Mus musculus: one gene and its partners. The protein of the gene in region 1 purifies or fractionates together with the protein of each later gene. This does not show direct contact. Links are inferred from orthologs where the notes say so. Each region holds a gene or a part of one and is shown on either strand. Other genes may lie near its edges.

Evidence for each region.
Region 2: the proteins of Cul7 (region 1) and Rbx1 purify together in Homo sapiens (affinity purification with mass spectrometry; 9 studies listed by BioGRID and IntAct, with this or other methods). This does not show direct contact. The link is inferred for Mus musculus from reciprocal best matches to the Homo sapiens genes CUL7 and RBX1.
Region 3: the proteins of Cul7 (region 1) and Fbxw8 purify together in Homo sapiens (affinity purification with western blotting; 12 studies listed by BioGRID and IntAct, with this or other methods). This does not show direct contact. The link is inferred for Mus musculus from reciprocal best matches to the Homo sapiens genes CUL7 and FBXW8.

Annotation. Positions count from the first base shown.
Region 1 is NC_000083.6:46,653,317-46,656,960, forward strand, and holds part of Cul7 (cullin-7), read left to right. Parts: intron 1-433; coding exon 434-572; intron 573-669; coding exon 670-866; intron 867-1,117; coding exon 1,118-1,343; intron 1,344-2,198; coding exon 2,199-2,436; intron 2,437-2,527; coding exon 2,528-2,633; intron 2,634-3,644. UniProt on the Homo sapiens protein: Core component of the 3M and Cul7-RING(FBXW8) complexes, which mediate the ubiquitination and subsequent proteasomal degradation of target proteins. Core component of the 3M complex, a complex required to regulate microtubule dynamics and genome integrity.
Region 2 is NC_000081.6:81,464,941-81,469,228, forward strand, and holds the start of Rbx1 (E3 ubiquitin-protein ligase RBX1), read left to right. Parts: upstream 1-1,375; 5' UTR 1,376-1,432; coding exon 1,433-1,510; intron 1,511-3,214; coding exon 3,215-3,293; intron 3,294-4,288. UniProt on the Homo sapiens protein: E3 ubiquitin ligase component of multiple cullin-RING-based E3 ubiquitin-protein ligase (CRLs) complexes which mediate the ubiquitination and subsequent proteasomal degradation of target proteins, including proteins involved in cell cycle progression, signal transduction, transcription and transcription-coupled nucleotide excision repair.
Region 3 is NC_000071.6:118,089,415-118,093,058, reverse strand, and holds part of Fbxw8 (F-box/WD repeat-containing protein 8), read left to right. Parts: intron 1-356; coding exon 357-563; intron 564-3,644. UniProt on the Homo sapiens protein: Substrate-recognition component of the Cul7-RING(FBXW8) ubiquitin ligase complex, which mediates the ubiquitination and subsequent proteasomal degradation of target proteins.

The DNA of each region.
Region 1 (3,644 bases):
TGGGAGCAAAGGTGCGTCAGACCCAAGAAGAAACCGATGGATTAGAATTTGGAAGATGGGCTTTCTGAGGCCAGATGGAAGTACTGAGCCATGGTATCTAAGACAGAGAGGATCCAGGCCGTGGTAGGATGCTTGTAATCCCAGAGGTAGAGAGAGGCAGAAAGATAGGGAGTTCAAGGCCAGCCATGGCCACATAGCAATGTTGAGGTCAGTTTGGGACCCCCGTCTGAAAGAAAGGAAAAATGAAATTAGACTAAAGGGCATAAGGAAGTAAAGGGCATTGCTGAGGAGGAAGGTGAGGCTGTCTGTATACTGTATACATTGTTGCATATATAGTCTATATAGTCTATAGACAGTGGTCACCTTATGGGCCTTAGCTGGTCAATAGCAGGTCCTCTTCCCCTTCCCTTTCCTCCTGCCTCCAACCCTCCAGGTGTTGTGGGATTCAACAGGCCATACCTACTGGGTGCACTGGCACATGCTGGAGATCTTGGGCTTTGAGGAAGACATCGAGGATGTGATTGATATTGAAGAGTTACAGGAGCTAGGGGCCAATGGAGCACTGAGCATCGGTGAGCTCTGGGCTGGAGGTTGGCTCTGAGCAGAGAGAGATAGACCTACCTGGGCAGGCCGTGACTTGGCTGTTGCCACATACCATTTACTACGCAGTCCCGCCGTCCCAGCGCTGGAAGCCCATAACTCAGCTCTTTGCCGAGCCTTACGTGGTACCCGAGGAGGAAGACAGGGAAGAGAGCGAGAACTTGACCCAGGCTGAGTGGTGGGAGCTCCTCTTCTTCATCCGGCAGTTGAGTGAGGCAGAGCGCCTTCACATCGTGGATCTCCTGCAAGACCACCTGGAAGAGGAGGTAGGCACCCCTCAGAAGTGTCCCCCGCAAGTCTGCATCGGAACATTCGGACGCTCGGGAGGTGAAGCACGGAGGTCGGACAGCTTCAGGGGCCCACCACGGAGGGATCTGGAATGTTCAGAGATGCAAGGGTCGGTGGGCTGCCAGCCACAAGAGGTTCAGAATGGTTGATGTGTGTGTGTAGAGAGACCCCCATTCCCACCGAGGATCTGCTCGCTCAGCTGCGACAGGCTGACTTTTCTTCCCCGTAGCGCGTTCTGGACTACGATATGCTGCCTGAGCTGACCGTGCCCGTTGACTTGGCCCAGGATCTGCTGTTGTCTCTGCCTCAGCAACTTGAGGACAGTGCTCTGAGGGACCTGTTCAGCTGCAGTGTCTACAGGAAGTATGGGCCCGAAGTCCTGGTAGGGCATCTAAGCTACCCATTTGTGCCAGGTGCCCAGCCAAATTTATTCGGAGCCAATGAAGAGTCTGAAGGTGAGTGCCCTGCAGACAGCAGCAGAGAGACCTGCCTTTGGGAAAGTGTCCTCCAAGAGGTGTCTCCTCTAACAGTGTGCCATCTTGTCTGAAAGAGATACCCTACCCACAATCCCAGAAACTTACGATGTGCATGTGTGTGTGTGTCTGTATGTCCAGACCCAAGGATAATTACAGATGTCATTCCTCAGCTGTCATTTATCTTTCTTTTATTTAAATTGATTTTATTTTGGCTGAGTGTGGTGATCCACACAGATATTTGAGTTTGAGGTCAGCCTGGTCTACAGAGCAAATTCCAGGATAGCCAGGGCTACACAGAAACCCCTTTCTCAAAACTACCAAGCCCCCTCCCACTCTCCCCACCCCCAAGAAAATTATTTTATTTTATCCCTATGGATGCAGTGCCCACAGAGGTCAGAAGAGGGCACTGGCTCTCCTGGAGTTGAAGTTCTAGATCCTTGTGAGCTGCGCTGTGGATGCTGGGAACTGAACCTGGATCCCTCCCTTCTCTCTTTTACTCTTTCTCTCTCTCTCTCTTTCTTTCTTTCTTTCTTTCTTTCTTTCTTTCTTTCTTTCTCTTTCTTTCTCTTTCTTTCTCTTTCTTTCTCTTTCTTTCTTTCTTTCTTTCTTTCTTTCTTTCTTTCTTTCTTTCTTTCTTTCTTTCTTTCTTTCTTTCTTTTTTCGAGACAGGGTTTCTCTGTGTAGCCCTGGCTGTCCTGGAACTCACTCTGTAGACCAGGCTGGCCTCGAACTCAGAAAAACGTCTGCCTTTGCTGCCCAAGTGCTGGGATTAAAGATGTATGCCACCACTTTTTGGCAGTGCTGCCAATTCTTACCACCCTCTTGTTCCTTCAGCCAAAGATCCCCCACTTCAGAGTGCCAGCCCTGCCCTGCAGCGCCTGGTGGAGAGCTTGGGCCCCGAAGGGGAGGTCCTTGTGGAACTGGAACAAGCCCTCGGCTCCGAGGCTCCCCAGGAAACTGAGGTCAAGTCCTGCTTGTTGCAGCTCCAGGAGCAGCCCCAGCCCTTCCTCGCTCTGATGCGGAGCCTGGACACTTCCGCCAGCAACAAGACCCTGCACCTCACTGTGCTCAGGTGGGGGGCAGTGAGGGGCAGGCTTGGGCACCTGAAGGCCTCACGCCAACCTGATCTCCTTCTACCTTTCCGGCTCTGTCTCTCCCTCTAGAATCTTAATGCAGCTGGTGAACTTCCCAGAGGCGCTGTTGCTACCCTGGCACGAGGCCATGGATGCCTGCGTGACCTGCCTTCGGTCCCCCAATACTGACCGAGAGGTAACCCTGTCCCACTCTGGGGAGAAGCTGGGGGATGGGGAGGACACCAGTGAGGTAGACCCCATTTCCCTGCTCCGGGCGAGGCTTGGAGGACGCAACAGAATCTTGGTGTTCTCGCTTTTAAAATGAAAAAAAAATTTTTTTTTAAAATAGGTAGTACATTCACAAAGTTCACAAGTCCAAATGGCACAAGGTAGTCAGTCCTTGAGAATCCTGGCTCTTCACCGATTCCTATTGTCTCAGTGTCCTTGCTGGTAACCCACTGTATTAATTATTAGTCCATCCCGTGCTTCCTTATGCAAACAGGAACAAGCTCTGTGGACTTCCTTCCAGCCAGGCCCTCAAGAGGAAGGGGAGGGGGTCCCCTGCTCTTGCAGAGGACGCAGATTTCATTCTCAGCACCCACAGGGCAGTTCACAACTGTCTGTAACTCCAGTTCCAGGGAATCAGATAACCTCCTCCTAGCTCCATGCACACACATGGTGTGACACGTACGTGCAAGGCAAATACTCAGACACATAAAATTCAAAAAAAATTTTAAAAAGCTTTTAAGTGAGGGAGTGAGGGACTCCCAGGACTTTCCTTCCTATCAGAGGTCCTGGGGACAGGAGGTGTTAGAAGGGTCAAAGGTCGTGATGTTAATGAGTTTCCCAAAGTGATGCCTTCGGTTTCCAAGCTGTTCTTACTGAGGGTCAGCAAAGTTCAGGCCTTCTCTATCCCCTGCCAGCCCTCTTAAGTGTCTGGGCTGGGGGCGTACACATCTCAACACCAACCCTGCAACTGGTTCTTGGGGGGGCCACAGCTGAATCAAAGAAGTAAGGGTTTTTTACCTGCTCCGCACACACTCGGTGGCTGAGAGCTCCAGGGGCCAGGAAGGCTTTTCCCATCGGTTTGGCCTCGTTTCTCTAACTGCGCCTGGTTTTTATATTACTTCCCACACTGTCTTGCTCAGCTCCCAGCACAGAGTGGCCATGAATCACCACCGCTGTCTGTGTAGCCCAGGCTTGCCCC
Region 2 (4,288 bases), on another chromosome or scaffold:
CTCAGGATAGTTGTTGACGAATGGATAAATATGTCCTCAGTATCTTAATTAACTATGGGTTTCTAGCATCCCTTAGGGGGTCTGTAGACACATAGACCAATGACAGATTTAGTGTGGGAGGTAGAACTTGGGCAGACACACACACACCTTGCAGGGCTCTCACAAGTCTCTGTGCAAGTTAAAACTGTGGTGGTATTCAGGATGTATTGCCCTGCTTAGCAAGTGCATCAATGACACACCGCATTACACACCAGCAAGTATTTCTTTTAACAGAACATTTCAGGACAGGCAGTGGTGGCGCATGCCTTTAATCCCAGCACTTGGGAAGCAGAAGCAGGCAGATTTCTGAGTTCGAAGCCGGCCTAGGTCCAGTCCTGAGTTCCAGGACAGCCAGGGCTACACAGAGAAAAACCCTTTCTGGGGGGGGGGAGGGGCACATTTCCGGTAAAACCCTTTTTGTTGTACTGTTGAGGGAACTAGAACACACAGGAAATTCAAGGGTGATGTATTCTAGTCATAACTCCGCAAATTTAGGAGACAAAACAGCGGAGGGCTGGACTAATCATGGAAGCTTACAAAACGTATGTGTTCTGTAGCTCGATGGTAATGACCGGTAAGAAAATCAGAATGCCTCACCAGAACTCAAGTTCAGCCACTACAAATGTACTAATTTAATCGTAGCACAGTAGCAAAACTCGATAGGAAATGAGGAGAAAGGAGGACCATTTAGAACTGGCTGGTTATGGGATTTACTATGGCATCCCCATCACCTTTCCTGTGAGAAGATAAAGGCAAAGTTGCAGAATGCCTGCTCTGTTTGCTCCTGGGCCTCTTCTCTCCCTATCAAATAATTTCCCAATCTGAAATTGATAACGCAGACGGTGACCAGGCCTTGGTAAGCCGGGCCACAGGCCTCCAGAGAGACACCGCCTGGCTCCGAAGCCGACCACGGTCAGCAGAAGGCCGGTTTGGAGTTTCGGGTTTCCAAAGACCAGCCCATGCCCTTTGCAACCACGGACTCGGGGGCAGCTCTGTGGATCTGGACCAGGGCTTAAGTCCTGGGGCAGAAGAAGGAAGCAGCCGCCGCCCCAAATGAAGGAGTCAGACCACAGGGCTTCCCAGAATGCGAGAAGCATCGAGACCTCACGGACGTTCCCACCGGTTGGCTCCCTTCTCTCGGCCCCGCCCGGCCCCGCCCGGCCCCGCCTCAATCACTCCAGCCTCCTCCCCAGCTGAGAGAGATGGGGAGGAGGGGGGCGGGAAACCTCCGCCTGCGCCTTTAAGGGGCGTGACCGCAGGCTCCGCCCCTTCTCCACGCTCGCGCCAATGAGGGGAGGGGTGCGGGAGGAGGCGCCTGGTGTGCGGGGCAGGCGGCGGAAAGTGAGCCGGTGCGCAGGCGCAGTGGTCACACGACAGACTGTGTGTTTCCAAAATGGCGGCGGCGATGGATGTGGATACCCCCAGCGGCACCAACAGCGGCGCGGGCAAGAAGCGCTTTGAAGTTAAAAAGGTTGGGCTCGCCAGCGCCTTCCTCAAGGAAGCTAGGGAGGCGCGGATATGGCTGGCAGGCCCGAGGAAGAGCTAGGCGCGGGGGAAAGGGCTTCATTTCAGGGCGTTCCTGGGACCGGGCACCAAGAACGGAAGCCGGGGGGCGGGCCTAGGGTTGATCGGCATGCTGGTGGCCCAGTGTCTGGGGCCCTATTAGTCTTGCTGGGGAAGCTGTGGGGCCAATCGCAGAGCTGCTTACTGAAATACGCGAGGTTGACTTCGATGCGGGAGCCAAGCGCTTGAGCTGTCACTGAAGTGACTGAGAGGTGGGGGAAGGACAGGGTGGGGTGGGTGGGATGCAGACTCGTGAAGAGACTGCGGCGGGTGGAGGATGGGGCCGTGCGGAGAACCCCGGGAACGTGAGATGACAGCGCAGAGGGGCTCTGCCGGTGTTCTTGCTCCGCCCCTTCCTGGATCCTAGAATCTATTGACTCCGAGGGACCTGGCGTGGGCCCTCGATTGTATGGCGGCCTCCATTGGCCTCTAAACCCACAGTCAAGTGTAAAGCTTGGTTCTAACGAGATGGCTACTAGTTGTCACATAGCATCTGCCACTCCAGTGGTTCTCTGATGTCCCTGTACACTTCTAACACAAAATGATAATTTAAAAGCCTGGTGGGCTTTGTTTTAAAAGCAAGCCCAGAACTTGTGCCATTTAAGAAGGTGGAGTACTAATTGCTAATGACCTGAGAACAGAAAAACAAAAATATGAAACGTCCTTTTGTATGCCGTTCCCCTTCATAGTTTGCTAGTCCTTTAAAAGTGTTGATTCCTACCTAAGATTACACAGATCTGTTAAAAATGAAGATCTTGAAGAGGGCAAGGTGTTTTCTTTTTATGGATTATTTTTGGAACGTGTCGCTGAGAATATCCCTCACCCCACCCCCTTTTTGTGTCATCTCATTGTGGCCACTGCTGCTCAGTTACAGCCTGCAGCCATTATGAAAAATAAAAATGTAATGTAGAATTTACTAAACTCTTATGCTTGAATTTGGAAAGTCAAACCAAAGTAGTCCTTGAAAAGGGTGCCTTGTCTAACATAAGAAGTCTTAGGTCGACTTACTGGAGCTAACAAAGTAATTGTTTGGATATATGAACGTTGAGAACATCAGTTTACTTGGTAAGAGGAAAAGAAAATCGCAGTGGATTCTACTTTGCTTGCAGTGCTCTTTTAAGGTTTAAGTGATGACCTCGTTCTGTGTACTGAAACTGGGTAGGTAACTTGCTATCCAGCTTATCCTGTGATTATCCACTTAGTGGTCCATTTATTATCTTAGTTCAGTCTGTTCACTTCCTTGCCTCTGAGTCCAAAACTTTGTGGAGAGCCCGTGCTTATGCAGATTTTGAGTTCTTCCACAGCTGTCAGGGAAAGCTGTACAGAAAATAGTACTAATATTCTCACGTTGGTTTGGCTAGCTAAATTATTTTACATTATATATAAAAAATTGAAGATACCCATGTTCATATACTTCATCTTTCAAGGAATGGGGAAGTGTACAGGTGGTCTGCTGTTGTCCTCTGATATAGTCCAAATAGTATAATCCAAAAACATCCTTTCTTTGGTAGGCCCTGTGGCTGGGGCGTTGGTAACTGAAGCTGCAAGCTGAAGTCCTAATGAGCTGTTAGATTACAAGGAAAATGCATTGTTTCCCCTCTTCTCCTTGCAGTGGAATGCAGTGGCCCTCTGGGCCTGGGACATTGTGGTTGATAACTGTGCCATCTGCAGGAACCACATTATGGATCTTTGTAAGTAACTCGGGGCAGATGGGAAGAAGTTGAGAAGGTTACAGAAATGGTGGTCATCCTGGTGTGCCCAATTGTCTTCTTTACCAGTGAATACAAAGCAGGCTCAGAACCCTTAGGCACTTGTGTATCTCATCCATTGGTGTGTTTGAAGTAGATTGTTTTGTGGTTGTTTGTGGAGACAGAGTTTTTTGTGTAGCCCTAGCTCTACTAGAACTCACTTTGTAGTAGACCAGGCTGGCCTTGAACTAGAGATCCACCTGCCTCTGCCTCCTGAATTAAATTGTTTCTTTTCTTTTCTTTTTTTTTTTTTTTTTTTTTTTTTTTGTGGGGTTTTTTTTTTTTTTTTGTGGGTTTTTTTTTTTTCTTTCTTTCTTTTTTTTCCCCCCAGACAGGGTTTCTCTGTGTAGCCCTGGCTGTCCTGGAACTCACTTTGTAGACCAGGCTGGCCTTGGACTCAGAAATCCACCTGCCTCTGCTTCCCAAGCGCTGGGATTAGAGGCGTGCACCACCACCGGTTAAGTTGTTTCTTAAAACAATGTCTTGGAGGCGTACCTTGCTCTCAGAATGAATTATTCATTGTAAATCAGGCAAGATCCCATTTAAAATGGGGTGTAGATAGAGTTGCCTTTTATTTCCTTCTTAGACAGCCATAAAGGCAAAAATAGTGGAAGAAAATGACCTTTGAAGGTAGATATAGTGGTATATGCCTGGAATCCCAGCATTTGAAAGGCAGTGGCAGGAGTATTGTTACAAATTACAGGCCCATCAGGGCTAAGATTTGAACTACAGTACTCTTACCTAAGCTAGTTTTTGTTGAACAAGATTACAATCACAGATTGGAGAGATGGTTCAGGAGTTAAGAACATTGGCTGCCCTTCCAGAGGACCCCGGTTCATTTCCCAGCAACCACATGCAGGCTCACCTTGCATAGACTATCACTTCAGTCCCAAGGGATTTAGTGTCATCTGCTGACTTTCAAGGTCACCAGACACACT
Region 3 (3,644 bases), on another chromosome or scaffold:
CATGCACAAGCCTTTGCCATGCAGGTTCTGTAGCCCTGATAGAAGGACCTCCTGGGTCACAGTGAGCTCACACCAATGGTAAGTGCTGCCATCCTTCCCTTAGCAGGAGTTGGACTGGATTAGATCTCCTGGTCCCTCCAGCTGTGTCCTCGGGCTTCCTGAGCCTTGCTTGTGCTGAGTCGGGGGGACGTGGCTTCCCTTCTCAGAGTGCACTTGGTTTTCACTGTTAGAGGCATCTTTTCATTGGACAGGAGCCATGCCCATCCCTGTAAATGGTCCCTGTGCTCAACTGTTTCTTGACTGTACAGACCAAGTCGAGATGACTGGGGGGCACTAAACAACTCCTCTCTCCACAGGTTGACTACCTTGAAATAGTTCCGAATACTGGGAGGTACCCTGTGGCAATAGCCACAGCCGGGGATCTGGTGTACCTGCTGAAGGCCGACGACTCAGCCAGAACCCTTCATTATGTCTATGGCCAGCCTGCCACATGTCTGGATGTCTCAGCCAGCCAGGTTGCCTTTGGAGTGAAGAGTCTAGGATGGGTGTATGAAGGAAACAAGGTATGGAAACAGTGGCATGTATACATTAACAAGGAAGAGTATAGATTTGGTTTTTAAGGCAGCCAAAAAATGAAGCACTTTGTGTTTTGTTTGGTTTGGTTATGGTTGTTTGAAACAGGGTCTCGCATATCCCAGGCTGTCCTAGAACTCATGATGTGCTGGGAGGAGCCATGTGCACCACCACACAAGTAGTGTGTTAACACTCTGAATGCTCTTGTTTTCAGCTGGTTCAGGGCAGTGTATGAGCAAGACAGAAATGTCCAAGCAATGAAATGGAGCACGAGACGGAGTTCCTCCTCCGCTGCACACAGGTGTCCATGTAGACGCCAGATAGACAGACAGACAGACAGACAGACAGAGGCTGAGGATGGATCTTTGTAGACAGAGGGTCATGGTATGTGACCTGTTCTGTGCCTAGCAGTGTACCTTGGGCAGTGTTTCACCTCTCATGTCCCCAGCTCCCTGCTGTAGAGTTCCAGCTTGTGCTTAGAGCTCATAGTCCAGAGGCACAGACGTAAGTTCCCCGTGTGTATAGCTCTAGGCAAACCTGCTGGTAGGCGGCTCACAGCAGCCTAATGAGCAGCACAGGCGCTTTCAGTGCCATCTGAATGCATACGGCCAATTCAGAGTCCACAAGCACATAGTCACTGAGCCTCTAGTGCATGGCTTAACCGACACGGGCCAGCAGCCGACTGACATGTGTCTGCTCTTTATAGCTAGGACTCAGATGAAGGCTTTGTGAGAACAGAGAGTTTTGATCTGACTTCATTTGTACCTGATACAGGACTGGGGCTTAACTACAGTCCACTATTGATCAGCCATGATAAAAGCCCACTGACATCCAAACACTATGATGGATTTTAATCAGGGGCTTAACTCTGTAGCCTGTAGGAGTATCCAAGGGTGCTATTTCTGGTCACTGGACGATGTCTCTGTACCATATGCTGACCACACTGGTGGTTTAGGCCCACAGCTGTGTGAACATTGAGTAATAGTGTTTCGGCGTCCACCCTTCATCCACTAAGTTGGCAGGTCCTGTGGGCATCGCAGGTAGCCACGACATCAGTGTGTGGCTGGCAGTGGAGTGTTAGACAGCATTACACACAGATTTCGGTGTTAATAAGCCCTCTACAGAGCTTGTCTGTCTGAGCTGGAAGCAGGGCTGCCCTCGGTGGTGCAGGCTGGCAGGCCTGGGGGAGTCAGTGCTCTGTACACCTGGACCCTCATGCAGCCATTGTTCCTGGGCTCGATGTGCAGGGCAAAGCAGGTGCCACACAGCACTTACCAGCATCTTCTTTGGCTATACAAAGTCAAAGAAAAGTTTCTAGTTTGTATTTTTGCCTTTACTTTAAAACAGATTTTTAAACACTTTAATATATATATATGTGAGGGTATTTTGTCTGCATGTATGTTTGGGCACTAAGCATGCAGTACCTGCAGAGGCCAGAAGAGGGCACTGAACTCCTGGAATGGGAGTTCCAGATGGCTGTGAACCACCAAGTGGGCTCTGGGAACTAAATCCAGGTCCTTCGCAGAACAGCCAGTACTTTGAACCAGAGCCACTGCTCCAGCCCCTGGAGTACTTTTGTTCGGACTCCTGATTGAGAATTTCAGATATGGGAAGTGTAGGGCAGGAGCTTCCTCCCCAAGCCTGTCAGCTACTGCCTGTCATTTGGTTTTGGAGCCAAGTTGGTGTTGTCCATTTCTTGTGCATCCTTGTGAAATGGGCCCTCTTTCTGTAAAGTGTGGGTGGAGCTGGGTGTGGTAGCTCTCACCTTTCATCCCAGCACCCTGGAGCAGAGGCAAGCAGATATTTGTCTTGAAGGTTAGCCTGATCTACATAAGGAGTCCAGGCCAGTTAGGGCTCTCATGAGTGACCCGCCTCAGGAAGATGATCATGGGTAAGTGCTAGAGCACTCTGCATCACTGCTCCTTGTCTCTGCCTGTTGGGGTGACTTTGTAACACATCACAGAGCCCCCTGCTCCTGTTTGGTTGGGTTTTAGAGCTTTCTGGCATCGATCAGGCCGTATGTGTGGCCTCACCATTCCACCCACTCTGCAAGAGTGTGGCTTGCACCAGTGCTTACAGGGTAAGCTTCTCTCTGAGGACTCACTGGGTCAAACCTGCTGCCCTGAGGATATTCTTGAGGGGTAACAGCGCCCACCCCACAGACTTCCTGGGTGCCTCTTCTCTAGGCTTTGCGGCTGGGAAGGAGGGTGGGGCTTTGCCTGACTTTGTTGTTCAGTTTATACTTTGTATCTCTCTGCTTGGAAGGCTTCCCCACATGGAGTGGCAGTGCCAGCAGCACTTAGGCCAGTGTCATGGTGCAGAGTGGTGAGTGCACTGCTGCGCACCTCTCCGCTGCTTGCTGGATACTCCTGGGGCCCATGGTTCTGGGGAACACTTGTCTGACCTCTCTTAGGCAATGAGGAATGGACCATGACTTCTGGGTTTGGTGAGCGGGGCTGAGCAGCTGAGGCTTATATGTTGTCTCTAAGGGCCATGCTCATTGCATCGGGCAGGGATGATGGTGCAGGAATCATTCCCAGTGTCCCAGCAAGAAGGGCTGCTCGGAGGTCTTTAACTTAGAGCAGAAAAGAATTCTGAGTCTCTGATGTCCGTTCTTAGTTCTCAGACTTGAGTATAAATGTCACTGAATGGCAGCTGACAGTAGAAGAGGCAGAAGTGTCTTAACCACGTCGTTTCACACTGCCATGCATCCACACAGCCCTCAACATGGCCCTGATAGTCCAGCAGCCTCCTAAAACTTGGTTTTGTCACGTAGTTTGGAATTCATCAGCAGTGCTTTTGTTTCCGTAACGATTTATAACAGCACACTACCTTTATTAATCTCTTTGCTGCCTGAATGTGCTCTCAGGGTGGATGGCTAGAGGCAGAGCTGCCGCGGGCGAACACCATGCTGTCGATGAGCTCGTGTCTCATAAAGGGATCCGGAGCCCCACTTAGTGCTCTCAGCATCGCTCTGTGGAGCTGGACATATTTCCCAATTTAGTTCTGAAGCTCTTGGCATTTGATGGCAGATTGTATTAAGCAGCACGCGGAGTGCATCCTAATCAGGG